2 linked regions of the Schizosaccharomyces pombe genome follow. The protein of the gene in region 1 interacts with the protein of each later gene in a biochemical or structural test. Each region holds a gene or a part of one and is shown on either strand. Other genes may lie near its edges.

Region 1 (7,349 bases):
CAGTTTCTCTTTTTGTTCTAACTTAATTATGTCGGGGTAAATAGTTTTAATTTTTAAGGACAGAATGTCTTCTTCAAAGCAATCAAATTGAATTTTTTCTAGACCATCTGTAACAGAATCGTTATAAGAAGAAAATTTAATATCTTTTAAAAGAAGAACATGACCTGGACTTTTACTAATGTTCATCGTTATATTTGGATCGAACGCTTTGTCTATTAATCCCGTAGGAGCACAGCTTCGTATAATCATCAGAACATGAGCCATCATTTTACGAATCTGATTTAGCATAAAAGAATTACCTTTAATCGTAACAGGAATCCATTCCCAGTTTTCATAAACAAAAGGAGTTCCGCAAGTAACACTCTCAATGAATCGATAATTACTTGGTGATGTGGAGTCATCAGTGACAGTAAAGTTATGAAAATTATGCCGGCCTTCGTATTTCTTTAAAAGCTGTTGTAAAACCTTTAAACGATCCTCTTTTATACGATAATTCATATAGCAATAATATTCAGCTTGCTTTAAAGCCTTCTTTAATTTTGCTTGGGGAGGTATTACAATCCCAGCCGGAATAGGCTTTTCATAGAACATACCTTTAAATGGGTTAGTGAATGCATCTTTATTAGTATCAAACATTTCTTGTATTTCCTTCTGCTTAAGCTTCACTGTATTCCAAAAAGAAATCAAATCGTTCATTGAATAAACTAAATTTCTTTCTAACTCATTATCCAGTTTTCTTGATAAGTTTTTCTGCATTTTTTTAAAAAGAGGACAAGAGGGCTTAGGAGGAAGTAAAGCAAAAGAAGGAATTAAGTATTCATATGTCCTTGACTCGCAAGAAATCCTAGGATTAAAGTACTTTGGCGCAGGAAAGACACTCCACACACGAATTTGAGAACAAAGTGCTTCATTCAACTCAGTTTTAAGTAAGGAAATATCTAGTGGCTTATCGACAAAAAGATTTAATGATATTAAATTTCTTAATGTATGGACCCCTTTGTCTGTTCTAGCTGCTCGCGCAATACACAAATGTTCAGCATCAATGTTATTTGTTTTTAAATAGCCCAATTTTTTAAGTACAGCTACAACATCTCCTTCAATTGTTTTAAGGGGATTATTTATTTGAATCCCATGGTAACCATAACCAGAATATCCCAATAAAATGATGATACGAACTTTGTTAGATTCTTTTGTGCCCTCGATTTTTTCTCGCTTTGGTAATTTTGGTGTTTCTAGATCCTCTGCGGGTATATGCTCCTGTTGATTTTTTCTTTTCGAGATAGAAGTCATTTTTTATAAAACAAATCTTCTAAAAAAATTTAAAGAAAAAAAAAACACCACAGTTTACTATTAATTACAAAAACGTATTAAAACAAAAGACACAGAAAATATTGGTGTTTAAGTGTGGTATGGACGCAATCAAGAATGATGCACACGAGATTGAAATACGCTCATTTTTTAGCGACATATTAAAAGTCTTTACAACTAAAATATTAGATACGAAAATAAGATATCCTACTTTATTATCTTTGTAGATGAATAACGAAATTTTGGAGTTTTAATGTACAACATAATATTAGGTAAATCAGAAAGTGTTTAGTTATAAGGATAACACAATTAGCAATAAGTATCTATGACAAGCTGATCCATTAATAATTAAGGCAGGTAATTAGGTAAAGGAAAAGAGGAAATTATTTTGCTAGCAAACCATAGCGTCCGACAAATTGATAACCAAAAGATTAATTTTATACAATAAAAGATTACGGAAATAAAATGAGCGGAGCTCGACTTATTGTGGTGAACAGAACAAAACACAGTGATACAAAATTTGGTAAGGCTAATATCATCGACCGCGAAAACGGCACCAACCATTCCAATCAATAAGCGCTTGCATACAGCCCCACTCCGTAATTTTTTTCTCTAGCCAAACTAAAGAGACAGGCTTTGTAAGAAAATCATTGCAACCAGCAGCTAAAGCCTCGTTTCGATCAGCCATTAGGCTAGAAGCAGTAAGTGCCACTATAATCACAGGAGATTGAAATTTGTTTTCATTTAGCTGATCCTTTTCAGGTATCGGTTGTGTCAATTTTGGAGCACCAACTCCAATTGCGTTTAACCGCTCAAGTCTCCTAATTTCTTGGGTGACTTCAATACCGGACATCGTGGGAAGTTGGATGTCCATTAGAATCAAGTGAAAAGATTTCTTTTTCCACTTCTCGAGTGCTTCAAGCCCATCTTTAGCAACCTCCGAGGAAATATTGCGCTTCTTCATAAAAGTCTCTAGGATTTTTTGATTAATAATATTATCTTCAACAATCAAAACGTTAATTGGAGGAATCACTCCTTCAAGTAGACTAGCAAAAGGTGCTTTCGCACCTATGCCGGGACTTGTTAGAACATTGACTGGTGAAGTACCAACAATTCCATCTATTTGATTAGAAGGAAATCCTAAATGGGCTTGTGTATCAGCATTTAAGGGATCTTTGTTGTCTGCTATAGGAAATTGAGAACTGATATCAGGGTTCATCCTATTTGCTGCGTCAATATCAGCATTAACCGCGGGAAGGACTCCTGCGGTACCAGATTGTTTCGTATAAAGCGATGAATGACTAATACTTCTACTATTAGTGGGTGTCGCGACTTCGGCTTTCGCCAATTTTTCAGCTGTTGATTCATCAGACCGAGTCGACATTCCAATAGAATTTTTTCTAGTAATGGATTCGGCTTCGTCTGATGGTTGCGACTTGTCAGCTGAAGTTAGATCTGGTAAAGAGGGTCTTGAAGCCAATGTTTGCTGTCTAGAAGAACGAGGCAAAAGTAGTACGCCAGTTTTATTTACATTAGAGGAAGGAAGAGTTTGATGGGACCTAGTTCGGGATGCATTTCGTAAATTATAATTTAAAGGACCTCCTTTATAAGAATAAGTACTTTGATGTCGTGAAGGGGCAGAAACCGGGCTCTCAAGTGAATCAAGAGCAATGGATGGCTGTTTGATACGCGGGACTGTTTCGTTCGCTGGGGTAGGGATTATGTTAGGTGGGTATTCAGAAAAAACGGGAGGTGTTGATTCAAATGTAGAGGATGAGAGTTGAGAAGAGCGATATCTTAAGGCAACTGAGGTATCCGGCGACGCTACTAGAAGCGCGTCGTTAAAATCCTGACCATGAGGATAATAAGTTTCCATGACAAATAATATGCTTTCGTTGGGACTGAGTTCTCTAGATTGCAACTCCGATGATGCATTTGGTGGAGCTACTACACGAATCGAAAGCTCAGGTGCATCATAATACTGACTGATACGAATAGGGAATTTCCGAGCGATGGCATCTTTTAAATCGTCAACCAGATGATCTTCAGACAATATAACGGAGGAAGTAATCCCATCTGGAACTTTTTTAAACCAAATGCGCATCTTCTATATATCTTCTTTCTTTTGACTTAACCTCAACTTTCCTATATACAGTATGAACAACCAAAACAGCCGCCTGTTTTTACGTTTAACATTCGATAGCTTCTTGTATAATCCCCTTCTATTTTAAATTTAATAGAAATATACAAGTATAAAATCACTGTTCGTGATAAGGAATGAGTAAGGTATGGTTCACGATACAATACGGCAAGCCTACTTAAGGTGTTGAGTTTCGTTACCTAGTCGTGCAACAAGCGCTGGGGATTTAGTAGAGTACTTAGAGTAACACCTTCCATCTGAGGACAAAAATCGAATAAATTTTAACACGTGAAAATAATAGGCACAGCTAAAACTGCGATTGTAAATTATACATTCTACGATACGAGCAAATAAGTATTCGTTTAAAAGGGATACTGTTGTGTTATTGACTTACTATTAGAATTCGACATTACTAAAATTTAACTAATTGAGTAATTGTTTCTGAAATTTATTCCTTATTTTAGATTTTATTTAAAGTATGTAGTTTAAAAAAAAAAAAAATTAAACGTTATACCCATACTTAGTTGGCTACCATTAATGGTCCTATTACTACTTGTCAGGTTTGGATATTTAATGACTCAGATTAAATGATTTAATCAACACAAACCAATATTTTTGAAATTCAAAAATAATGAGGCTTCAATTTCTCAATGAGAAACCAAAAAAAATTATTTTAGATAGTAACCCATTTAGTCATAGAAAAAAAAACCGTGTTTGATTATATGTACAATTTATCAACTCATTTATTTTTATCAGGTTCTTAAATCATAATGATAAACCTAGGCGATTCTATTAGGAAGCAATATATTAAGGACTAATAAAATAAACAATAAATATTAATGATTAGGAAATCAAACGCACCAAGATAATCAAATTGATAAACAAACTATAGATAAATGACAGAAATATTGAATCAACAAAATTGCAACTCATTCAAAAAGTTATCAATTTACACTTAAAGAATTATTTACCACAAAACATACTGTAGCGTTAGCATTTGTTGCTCCTGTTAATAACGACTTCTGATCTCGATGAACTCAAAAAGTTCGAACCAACATAATATAGCGAGTGCTTTTGATCATTCAAGAATTAGAAATGAATGCTAACAATACTACATTACAATTACGAATTACTATATGTCACATGTTCTGATTACCTATCGTCTTACAAATGATAACAATACGATGTAGATCCACTAATAAATTTTTTAATTTATTAGCTAGAAATGATAGATGTAAAATCAAAGGAACAACGTTCTTTAGTTCAGCTGTGGTGGTTTGTTTAGAGATAAATTACATTACCGCCTTCATACAAGGATATCCGTAACCCCCGTTATCATACAACCATATGTACCGCTATGTAGTGCACATACGAAAATCAAGTAGTCTAACATATCATTAATGATAATTACGAACTGCATAGCTAAAAAAAATAAAACGCAATATCAAACTTAACGAAAATATTTTGTGTAAACGTTAATAAACTGTAATTATTTTAAGGAAAAGTGCTTATTCACGTTGTTAAAATAAAAAAGTACAACCTACAGATGCGTACACAGAAAGAAGTGAGTTTATTCGTTCCGCGAACTAGCTTGGCAGTAAATTTTGGGGAATTGACTTTTGTACATTATAGCATACCATTGTGGATCAATTTTATGTTCATTGCATTTTTTTAGTAATTATTACTTCTTAGAGTTCCTTTTTTTTTCAACAAAACCTTCGGATTTACGTCTGAGGTGATCGATCTTTTCATGCTATGTCTGCTCATGAGGTGTCCTCCACAAAAAACTCAGAAATTGAAAGAATTATTAAAGAGGCAGAAGATGCGGGTCCTGAAAATGCACTTACGTTAGATCTATCTCATCTAAACTTGCGGGAATTACCTTATGAACAATTGGAAAGAATCCAGGGTCGGATAGCGAGACTAGCGCTAGGCCATAACTTTATAAAGAGTATTGGTCCTGAAATCCTAAAGTTTACTCGTCTCCGGTACCTAAATATTAGATCGAATGTCCTTAGAGAGTTTCCCGAATCTTTGTGTCGACTTGAGTCACTTGAAATTTTAGACATTTCTCGCAATAAAATCAAGCAACTGCCAGAATCCTTTGGAGCTTTAATGAACCTTAAAGTTCTTTCAATTTCTAAAAATCGTCTTTTTGAGCTTCCCACCTACATTGCACATATGCCGAATCTTGAAATTCTTAAAATTGAAAACAATCACATTGTGTTTCCTCCTCCGCATATCGCTAATAATGACTTGCAAGATTCTGATATGCAGTTGTTTATTGCCAATATAAAGGGATATTTGTCGCGAAACGAATCAGTCTTTAGAACGCGAAGTGAAAGTACTGTTTCCGCTGCTTTATCCGCTTCAGCTAATCTTAGTCACTCGGAAGAAAATGACTCCTCTGTGGTTGATTCTTACTTATTTAGTGCCCCATCAGATACTAGCCATGCGGTTTCACCTGGCATGCTGACGTTTGTCACGCCAAGTCCCCATTCACATTCTCCTGCCGGGCATCAACAGTCCACACCCAAATCGACTTTGTCAAAGACAAATGAGAACTCAGAAGGAACATTGTATGATTCAAATGTTGCTCATGGATGCACTCATCCTCCATCACTTAATCAATTAAACAAATTTCATCTAGATGCGTCGCCTAGACAAGCCCGTCCTCGTAGGTCAGTTTCTTTAGCTACTGGCCTCAATTCTCCTTCTGTTTCAAAACCACCTTCTTCTGCTACAGGACCATTGTACCATTCACCCCAAAGCTCACTCACCAATTCCTCCGTCGCTAGTGCAGACGTTCAAGAACGTACTCACAATACTAACGGCGCTAGCCCCATTCAAGACCAAATTTCAGAATTCACTGATCAACATCAAAATCCCTCAAATAATGATGCTGCTTCCACACAATCGATTCTAAAAACAGCTCCAACGCAGTTGAGTGCGAGTGCTAAAACATCAGCCATAAGTTTACCTGAGGTTGCCAAGAAAGAGCGTAATAGAAGCAATAGTACAAATGATGATTACTCTTCTACTAGACTTCCATCGAGTGTTTTACATCGTCTTGAAGCCCTTAAAGAAGCGCGCAAACTTTCTGAGCAATTACCAAATCGAATTTTTGCTCAAGATCCTCATCCTTCCCCTCGTTTGAAAAAAGAAGAAACGCATGAAAATGGCTCCAATTTGACAAATGACTCGGTCAACAGCTACTTCAGTAACATTGGAGGGAGTGAGGTTGAAATGAAGCACTCGGCCTTTGAAAAAACTTTAGAGTCGTCTAGGGGCATATTGTTTTCGCTTTCGCAAGTCCAACAAGCCCTTCGTCAGCAACTTCTTTTTTGCAGCAACCCCGTTGTTTTAGATTCTATGCGTCATGTGTTACATACTGCCAATGTTCAAATTAAGCGGCTAATTCTGTGCTTTGAGGATACCCAACAAAGCAATGATGGAACTGCAAACATTAATTCCATAGTAAACGCTTCATTGTCTTGTATCAGCTCGTTTCGTAAACTAATTGAAGTGACAAAAAAATTTTTAAATGAGCTCACTAGTCGTGCGGATGTCCGATATGTTCGGCTTTTACTGCTAATTCTTTTCGATGCTGCAAAGGAGTTACAAAACGCCTTGGTACCATTGAGTCCATCACAACCCCATAGTGGTAATAACATATTCGCCGATCAGGTACGTCAATCTCCGACAAGTATGATCCGGACTGCATCTGGGCTTACGAACAGAATCGTTAGCGTTGAAAAACCAGCATCAGTGATGAATCCTGAAATTGATAAACAAATACAAGATCAGGTCGCTTTAGCAACAAACAGTGCAATGTCAGTTTTGACATTACTAATTGATGCTGTTCCTAAAAATAACCAGCCTGATCTAGTAAATGAAAACA
Region 2 (9,439 bases), 2.4 Mb from region 1:
GGCTGGTTTCTGCTCAATCCATTAGTGGTACCGGTGCCTTGTGTATAGCAGCTAATTTCCTTGCTTCATTTTATCCATCAAAGACTATTTACGTATCTGACCCTACTTGGGGAAATCACAAGAATGTATTTTCTCGAGCTGGCTTGACCGTTAAGTCCTACAAGTATTATGATCCTGCTACTCGTGGGTTGGACATTAAAGGCATGTTGTCCGATTTAACTTCAGCTCCTGATGGCTCTATTATATTATTGCATGCTTGTGCTCACAATCCAACTGGTGTAGATCCTACGAAAGCTCAGTGGGATGATATCCTCAAAACAATGCAAAAGAAAAACCATTTTGCTCTTTTAGACATGGCTTACCAAGGATTTGCCAGTGGTGATTTTGCTCGTGATGCTTATGCCACTCGTCTGTTCGCCTCCAGCAATGTCCCCATGTTACTCTGCCAATCCTTTGCTAAAAACATGGGTCTATATGGTGAACGTGCTGGCTGCTTTAGCATTTTAGCCAACGATGCTGAGGAAGCCGCTCGTATCGAAAGCCAAACTAAGATTCTCATTCGTGCTTTGTATTCCAACCCTCCCGTCAATGGGGCCAGAATTGCCAACCATATATTGAGCAACCCTGCACTTCGTGAACAGTGGGCTGGTGAAGTTGTAGGCATGTCCGAACGTCTTAAGAGTATGCGTAAGGCTCTTCGCAACATCCTTGAAAAGGACCTTAAGAATAAACACAGCTGGAAGCATATCACTGACCAAATTGGTATGTTTTGTTATACTGGTTTAAATCCCCAGCAAGTTGATGTTTTGGCTAAACAGTATCACATTTACCTCACTAAGAATGGTCGTATTAGCATCTCCGGTCTCAACACTTCCAATGTAAGATACTTTGCCGAAGCTATCAATGCCGTTACTTCGAATTAGTCGGTGGTGAAATTGAAGTGAAAAGATTTTGGTTTATTATATAGACAGATGGATTTTTGATTGATTCTTTGTTCTGAATCTTTTTTGTTCTTCTTTCTGTTTTTATTTTATTATACATACATATAGACAGACTCAAACACACATATACATATACATATATTTGTATACATTTAATTTTTTTTCCCTTTTCATTTCTCCGAAACCATGAGAAGACGTATTTAGTAACCTAATTGTCTCGGCTTATTTTTTTTTCCTTATACTTTCGCTTTGAGGTGAATAACTACAGTTTTGCTTCCAAATAGATGGCATGGTCTGTTTTTAAATGAATGGATTTTGGATCTAAAAATTGACTAAATATTGATTCGTTTTCGAAATAGTATGCTTTTCGTTTGTCTATCTTCATTTATTTCCATACTTTGTTTCTGTAGATGTTTGTCTAGTAGTTCACTTACTTCATACTTTAGATTGCCTCTAGTTAACCCAAAATTTGGCACATTTTACTATCCTCTCTCATATACATATTAAATCCCACTTTTTCGTTGGAAAACTATCAATTATCTTTCCCATTGCATTTGTCATATGTTGGGATTTCCCAAGTTCATCAAACTTCTGAGATGTACGAAATAAGTGAGGTAGGAATGAAATTTGTGCAAAGCTTTTAATTATTTCTAAAAATAGGAGAATATCGCTGGAAATTGGCACCTTTCCAATGACTAGGATAGGCCCTATGTAGTGATATCGAAATAAATATCTGCAAAAAGAGTATCATTCTTCCCTCCCAATGTGCAATGCTACAGCCATCAGGAATTGCTGCGCTTATTAGGAAATGGCCGAAAATGCCAAAGATGGTGGGAAACTGTTCTTCCATCTCCAGTTCGTCTTTTTTTTCTACACTGACTGATATGGAGGAATCATTGAAATTCGGGGTATAGTGAGACGTAGCGTCATTATATTAATATACTTTATCGTTTTGGGTGGTTGTGTATCGGTACATTTGACTGCTTTATTACGTTGCATGGCGTCACTCCCAAGTGTGAGTTTTGCAAACAATTCTTTCGCGGCATTTACCTACTTTCCGTCTCCCATTTACTACATTAGAATATCTAAAAATCAGACATAAGCACAGGCAAAACCATAGTCTCTACTCTCTGCCTTACCCTTGTTGCATTTGAACTTAATTATAGAGAGAGCACTTAACAATCTTGTGAGGATTGGTTTTCTGTCTTTTGAATTGATACGAAAACAATAATATCGCCTTTTTAGTAGAGCTTGATAATTTTAGAACTTAGCAGAAGCTGAAGGCAAGTTTGTGTGGCGTCTAAAACTTGGCATCAAAGTTTCGAACACGCAAAAAAAGCTCCAAAACCGTATTGACTCTTTTCCATTAGAATCGTTGTTGAAGGAGATTTATCCACAAATCCTATTTAGTATTTGTGGGTTGTGTGGTAAAGCCATTTTCTTCTTTTGGTAATAGCCCTTGTACTGTACTACAGGTTAGTGAAACTGTTGATTATTTCATTTTGCTGGCATACCACACATTATTTTTATAATTTGTTTGTGTTGTCGACGCCTCTTTCAATAACTCACATTTCCTCGCTTTAATTTCAAATCGTTGTTAAAAAAGGAAAGTCTTAAATCTGATACAATATTCTGTATCGATTGCTACATTTTACTGTTTGCAAAGTAATACTGCTGATAAAATTTAGCTGAGCTTCTCCATTCGCTCTTACTTTAAACCCTTTTCTTTTTTTTTTGGATTTTCTTTTAATTATTTTCTAAAAAATGAGTGTATATCGTGATAACATGTATATGAAATACGACCGAAACTTCGAAAATCGTGTCGCCCGAAGAAATGGACAGGCGCGTAACGCTAGTCTTGCTAAGACTCTTCACGATTCTGGCATAGCTGAACGTGCACGCTCTCCTTCAGGGTCAGCGATCCCCCATGCTTATCGGGTTATGAATGGTTCTGGAGCGAATGACACTTCTTTACCACTGACCTCAAATCCTGCTTATGTTGCTCTAACGTCACGTATATCTTCGAGCAAAAGTGAAAACAATCAACAATTGGCTGCTAATGAGACGGCTGGCGCACCTGAAGGCACGGAGGAGACCGTTGACATCTCCAATTCTATTAGCGATGACCATGCGAATGCCAAAAATCTTCCCGCTGCTTCAGTCAAAGCTTTGGTTGGGGCTGGTGTCTTGTCGGATGAACTTTCAGTAATTGCTTACGATATGTCATTTGAGGATGAACTCATCCAAGACAAACAGCTCATTGATCATTCCGTTTTTGACCAGTTGCTTGAGATGGATGATGATGATGAGCATGAATTTAGTAAGAGTATTGTTTGGAATTATTTTGAGCAGGCAGAGACTACCATTGCCGACCTCCAAAAGGCCCTAGAGGCTAAGGATTTGAAGAAGCTTTCCTCGTTGGGGCATTTCCTTAAAGGATCTTCAGCTGTATTGGGCCTTACAAAAATGAGAAAGGTTTGTGAACGTATCCAAAATTACGGATCTCTACGCAGTCGTGATGGTGTAATGAAATTACCGAGCGAGGAAATTGCATTGGATTTGATTAGCAAATCTCTGTCGGTTGTGAACGACTTTTATAAGGATGCTCGAGCTTACTTACTTGACTTTTATGAAAAAAATTCTTCTACATAAAAGTCTCAACATGTCAAAGTACCTAGCCTTTCTTTCCCCCTTTTTATGACATTTATACCAGTTGTCTATCAAAGTCTTCTAGTTTTCCCAAATTTACGATAACTTGAAGTTAGTGATGAATTTCCAGCTTTTACGGTTTGAATAGTTATATTTATTATGACGCCCACACTTTTCCCGTACTTTGAAGTGCTTCCCTCTATCAAAGCAAATAGAGTGAAGTAATACAAGTCCTCAATTTAGTTGAGTATCCCCTATCCAAAACTATCAAAAACAGTCTATTTTTTGCTTTACCTCGTCTACCTTTTTGATATTGAGATATGCAACAGGCAGGGTTTTCCTGCGGTTTTTTTTTACGGAACATTTTTGAAGCTCTCGATATCAAACTTTATGTATTTAATAAGCTGCTTTCTCGAAAAAAAAAATTCTTGTTTGTTACGTTCTTACGGTCGTGGCATGTATTTATACCTTTATTTATCTAGTTTATTTACGAAATTGTCTATTGTGATTGTTTATCACAAGCCCAATCCCCTAATGTTGAAGGACTTTAAACCTTAGATAATATGTTTACAACCGGTCGTTTAAGATGCTGAATTTGGTTAATTCAAATTACTCTTCAACACTCATTTATCCCCACGATTGGCGACAGATTTTTTTTTTTTTCGAGTTTGATTTGCTTTGTTGTTGTTTTTTTATGTTTTTCCTAAGTTTTTAAACTGTGTTTTCAAATTTTCTTTAACCTAATGTTAATCATTACATGTACCTGATTCTCCTTTGTTTACCTTTTTTATTATTCAACTTGAGATGTTGATGGATTTTTTATGATTTTGGTGATAACCTTCACGTCCTTGTACATTACTGAGTTGTGAATTATGGTGGACTTCAAATATTGATTGACAAACCTTGCAAAAATTTTAAGTATATTGTTCTTGCTTTTTGTAATTATGATTGCTTTTGTCATTATCTCGCTTTAGAGAGATTATTTAAAGGATTAATGAAAACACCTTAAAATGGTCATTACATACAATAATTATTTATGATTTGATTCATTCAGCGTTTAATATGTGTACTTTCAAGTGTGATCGAACTGACTTTTAGCGTCACTTACTAAATGTTTTTGTTGTTGTGGGTTAAAGATCGAAAACAATTCTTCGTTGTAGATTGTTCGTTTTTGAGAATAAAAACTAAGAAAACACGTTTGCGATGAAATGAAATTAACGAACTTCTTTTTTTTGTTAATCGAAGTATAGTTTGTTCGATTCCGCAAAGACAAGAGAACATTGAAATATTGATTTGTGTGAAACAGCGAAATCAAGTATACCTCGTTAATTAGCGCGGCAAGTAGGATCCTGCGGATTCATAGACGTTCCTTTGGAGGCGAAGCGTTATTAGGATTTTCATACCCGTTGTGCAGCTTTTCGTCGCCTTGTTTTTCTAGAATGATGCGGGATGAATTGAATATGCGGAAGCTACAGATGTGCAAAAACTAGGCATAAACCTCGCTTGCCTTCTTAGTTTGCTAGGCAATGTGAAGCAAATGGTCATAATCCAAGTGATACGCCTGACAGAGACAATTTAATTTGTAAATTATTTTTATCATTGTTTTTATCCTCTGATGTTACAATGTATTCATTGATATCGCATTTCGGCATTCCGATGTTCAACCCCGGTATGCGAGAAGGTGTTGGCCGCTTTTTTCGGTATCAAAGTTGAAATTTTAGATGACTAATCTTATGTTAATTAAAGATAAGAGGACGAAGTTTGCTGAAATCAAGTACAGGTTTTGATTGACTAGGCATCCTCACTAATGGTGTGAGAGAAATCTGTTAGGATATGCAAGCTGTCATTTCTCACTTTTTCAATGTTGGAAACCTGTACACAGACAATGCATACTCTTTTCTATATCAATTTGCAAACTAGATGGCAGCTCATTGTTCTGTGAATAATCAGATTAAGGTACTGAACAACGGAATATGGATTGCAATGTTCTTTGAAGATCTAGAAGGGGAAACCATTTTTGTTAGTTAAAAGTTTTATTTTTTTGTTTTAAGTTACTAGTTATTGTCTTTATTTTCTTATTTTCCTTTCTCTGTGCACTAATATTAAATGATTTTACTCTTACTATTTACCAATTCTCTTGAGCAGATGAAGAGAGGAATATTTTAAAAAATTAGTGTAATCCACGATAACGTACAATTTGCTTTTTCAGAAATCACACACGATTTCGTTAGTAAGTTTAGCCGAACTTTAGAGTTGTGCCTTATACAGATATCTAGAGATCATTTCTGTATAGCGAGCGACCTTTAGTACGACACACTTAGCAAAGTCAATGACGTTTCAGTCAAACAAGTGACTTATATAGGATTCATACGTGCATCCCATTTCATCGTTTGCCAACATGTCCCTCGCTTGGAAAAATGAGTTATTGAAGCTTTTAAAAGAAAATGTCGACTCCAGTGGAGTTATTCATCCCGAATACTTCCAGCTGGCAACTTTACCCACTGGTAATGAAATTTACCCCAGAAATCGTACTGTAGCTATTCGAGGATTTGTCGGTACAGGATGGCATAAACCACGTCCCGATGATGTGCTAGCTACAGATTTATTGGTATTCTCTACGGATATTGCTTCTCACAAAGCTGCTGAGATTGCTGAGCAGCAAAAAAATACATTCCCCTCTGGACCCATACCGAACGCATTTGAAATGTGTGGATGGTTACCAAAGACAATGCAGCAAATTCGTATTTCCGGTCAAATTTGGTTATACACACCAGAACTTGCCGACCGAAATGAATTTCCCGCAGACAAGTTGATCCAGGATCATTTAATAAACAGCAATGGCCGCATTCCCGAAGAATGGTCTTGGGAAGAGGAAAGAAGACGTATTTGGGAGTTACATAGTCCTGAACTTCGCGCTTCCTTTTCTACTCCTCCTTCATACTCCAAATACCAAGGCGATGTGAAGGTGTCACCTTTACCTTCTACCCTCACTGGAAAAGAAGATCCCGGGGTTATTGAAGCTTGGAAGACTGCTTGGGGTAGATTTTCTCTTGTTGTTTGTGAGGCTAACGAAGTCGAGTTTTTGAATCTTACCCCTCCTCCAGGAAAGCGCGTTTTGCACAATAGAGATCTAAACACGAAACAATGGTCCTCCACTCGTGTCAATGTCTAAATGTTTTCCTTTTTTTTCGCACATCCTTTATGAATTGATTGCTCTTGATAAACGTGCAATACTTATGAACTACGAATATTAACTTATAATGATTACTCCTAACATTTTGGTTCTTTTTTTTTGTGGAGTATATGAAAAAGGTCTGATTCCCTCAAATTTGCCTAGCTTACAATTCGGTGGGTTTTGTAGTTGAATTTTTTTTTAGTACTGAAGCATAATACTGAGTACAAACTACAAACTCAGTGTATTCCGAATTTTCTAATGTTTATTTACGTTGTTAAACAACTAAATTATCACTTATCCTATGTCAAATTTCCAATCCGGCCACTTGATGAACTATTTACGTTTATAATAAATAAAAAATTATGAAAATTGTGTGTATTAAAGTACTTACAGGAAGACATTGTAAAAAATTGTTGCGAGATTAAGCAAATAGGCCAACCTACCTGCTAATGATGATCATTTATTAAAAGATCTTACCTGTATAATATTATATTAAGGTTATTACTATATGGCTTGTTTTATTATCTTATATTGTCTTACGCAGGTAGAAATGTAGCAAAAAAAAGGGAATAAAGCACCACATAAGAAACACAATGTCTTATTTGAAGGGACGGTGAATTGCCAAGTCATTTAATTTTATCGAATCAGTATTCATAGAACCGTAAAGGTCCCCGTTGAGTTAAGTGGCATTATTGAATACATGTGTGGATCTTAACTTATTAACGATACAAATTTAAAACCTGTTAACGTATTCCTTACTATACATTAAATACTTTAAGGAATTTTACCAAATTGGCTTATACATTGGATTATTAGTACTCGGTTACATAAGGGATTAGCAATTTCAAATACAGGATTGCTCATCCATCATTTTTTAAGCATTGCTGTTATTTAAGCTCATCTAGATCAGAACTTCTTTTTCTCTCTAAAGTATAGAACACTTGGTTTACAGAGTGACATACACTTCAGTTTGTCAGTTTATTGAGAAATAGGGACGGTATTGCTAGCTACTGGAACCAAACCCACCTTTACTTTGCTTTAGTCTTTTCTTGTTTTCTTCTGTCTTTCTTTTGCATTGAGCTTTTCATCGCTTTTGTTTGGTGAACAATATTATTCAATTTAGAGGTACATATTAATTTGTAATAACAATGTCTATAAGCTTTTCGGAATTGGTAGCTAAGACATTGTTGGACTTAGAGGTTAAAGTTGTTTTTGGCATTGTTGGCATTCCCGTAATCGAAATTTGTGAGGCTATCCAAGCAAGTGGAATTCGGTTTGTCGGGTTTCGCAATGAGCAAAGCGCAGCTTATGCAGCGACTGCCTATGGCTATTTAACTCAGCGCCCTGGGGTCTGTGTCGTGGTAGGCGGTCCTGGCGTTGTACATGCCATGGCCGGTGTTTTCAATTCTAAAACCAATCGATGGCCTTTGCTGCTTTTGGCTGGATCCAGTGAAACATTTCAGCAAAACTGTGGGGCCTTCCAAGAATTGGACCAGGTTTCTTACTTATCACCTCATACGAAATTAGCCGTGCGCCCCCCAAGTCCCAAAATGGTTGTTGATTCCATTCGAAGAGCGTATCGTGTCTCCATGACCGGCACTCCTGGAACATGCTATGTTGACTTGCCAGCAAATTATATTGAATCTACTGTCGATGACTTTCCTAAAGACCCTCTACCCCCAATTCCTAGTTCTCCCAAATGTGCACCTGATCCAACACAGCTTCAGAAGGCTGCATACTATTTAAAAAATGCAAAGGCACCTCTGCTTGTCGTTGGTAAAGGTGCCGCATATGCCTGCGCTGAAAAACAGCTCTTGGAATTTGTTGAACATACTGGCATTCCGTTTCTTCCGAGTCCCATGGGCAAAGGTTTGTTACCAGAATCGCATCCCTTAAATGTGTCTTCGGCAAGGTCAGCTGCTCTTCGTAATGCAGATGTAGTGCTCTTAGCAGGGGCACGTTTAAATTGGATATTTCAATATGGTCTTCCACCAAAGTGGTCTCCTAATGCCAAATTTATTCAAATTGATACCAATGCTGAAACTTTAGGAAACAATGCTGCAGATTTGGATTTAGCAATTTGGGCTGATGTAGGTCTGACAATAGATTGTCTTTTTAAGCTCGTTCAAACTTGGAAGTACAGTGTTGGCATCTCGACCCCTTACCTTCGCACGTTAAATGAAACCCGATCCAAGAATGAGAAAAAGGCTCTTGAATCTCGAAAGTCCAGTATACCGTTGCAAATGAATTATGCTTTGTATGTCGTGAATGAGGAGCTACAAAGCTTATCGCTCAAATCAAAGCGTAATATCACTTGGGTTTCTGAAGGCGCCAATACAATGGACCGGGGCCGTCAGCTTTTAGAAGTAACTCATCCACGTGGTCGACTGGATGCAGGCACTATGTCAACAATGGGAGTTGGTATGGGATATGCTATTGCCAGCGCATTTGCCCATTCATCCGACAAAATAGTGGTAGTTGAGGGTGATAGTGCTTTTGGCTTTAGCGCCATGGAACTGGAAACCGCCATACGCAACCAGCTGGATCTTTTGGTAATTGTAATCAATAATAATGGTGTTTACCATGGATTAGATACTGATGCTTATGAAACTTTACGTGATAATCACCAATTACCGACTACTGCCTTAGGCACTAGTATACGTTATGATCAAAT

What was found.
Region 2: of the proteins of mcs4 (region 1) and mpr1, one has a biochemical effect on the other in vitro, tested with the Schizosaccharomyces pombe proteins (one study listed by BioGRID).

What each region holds. Positions count from the first base shown.
Region 1 is NC_003423.3:3,553,337-3,560,685, reverse strand, and holds mcs4 (response regulator Mcs4), read right to left. Parts: upstream 3,599-7,349; 5' UTR 3,413-3,598; coding exon 1,844-3,412; 3' UTR 1,549-1,843; downstream 1-1,548. Other genes in the region: tRNA pseudouridine synthase Pus2, read right to left, coding at 2-1,290; leucine-rich repeat protein Sog2, read left to right, coding at 5,204-7,349. UniProt on the Schizosaccharomyces pombe protein: Response regulator that coordinately controls the stress activated wak1-wis1-sty1 MAP kinase pathway and fission yeast cell cycle.
Region 2 is NC_003423.3:1,201,052-1,210,490, forward strand, and holds mpr1 (histidine-containing response regulator phosphotransferase Mpr1), read left to right. Parts: upstream 1-2,000; 5' UTR 2,001-2,705; coding exon 2,706-3,593; 3' UTR 3,594-5,722; downstream 5,723-9,439. Other genes in the region: aspartate aminotransferase Maa1, read left to right, coding at 1-923; SPOM_SPBC725.03 (pyridoxamine 5'-phosphate oxidase), read left to right, coding at 5,989-6,762; 2-hydroxyacyl-CoA lyase Hac1, read left to right, coding at 7,914-9,439. UniProt on the Schizosaccharomyces pombe protein: Binds to the msc4 response regulator which is part of a multistep phosphorelay system that transmits oxidative stress signals to the spc1 MAPK cascade.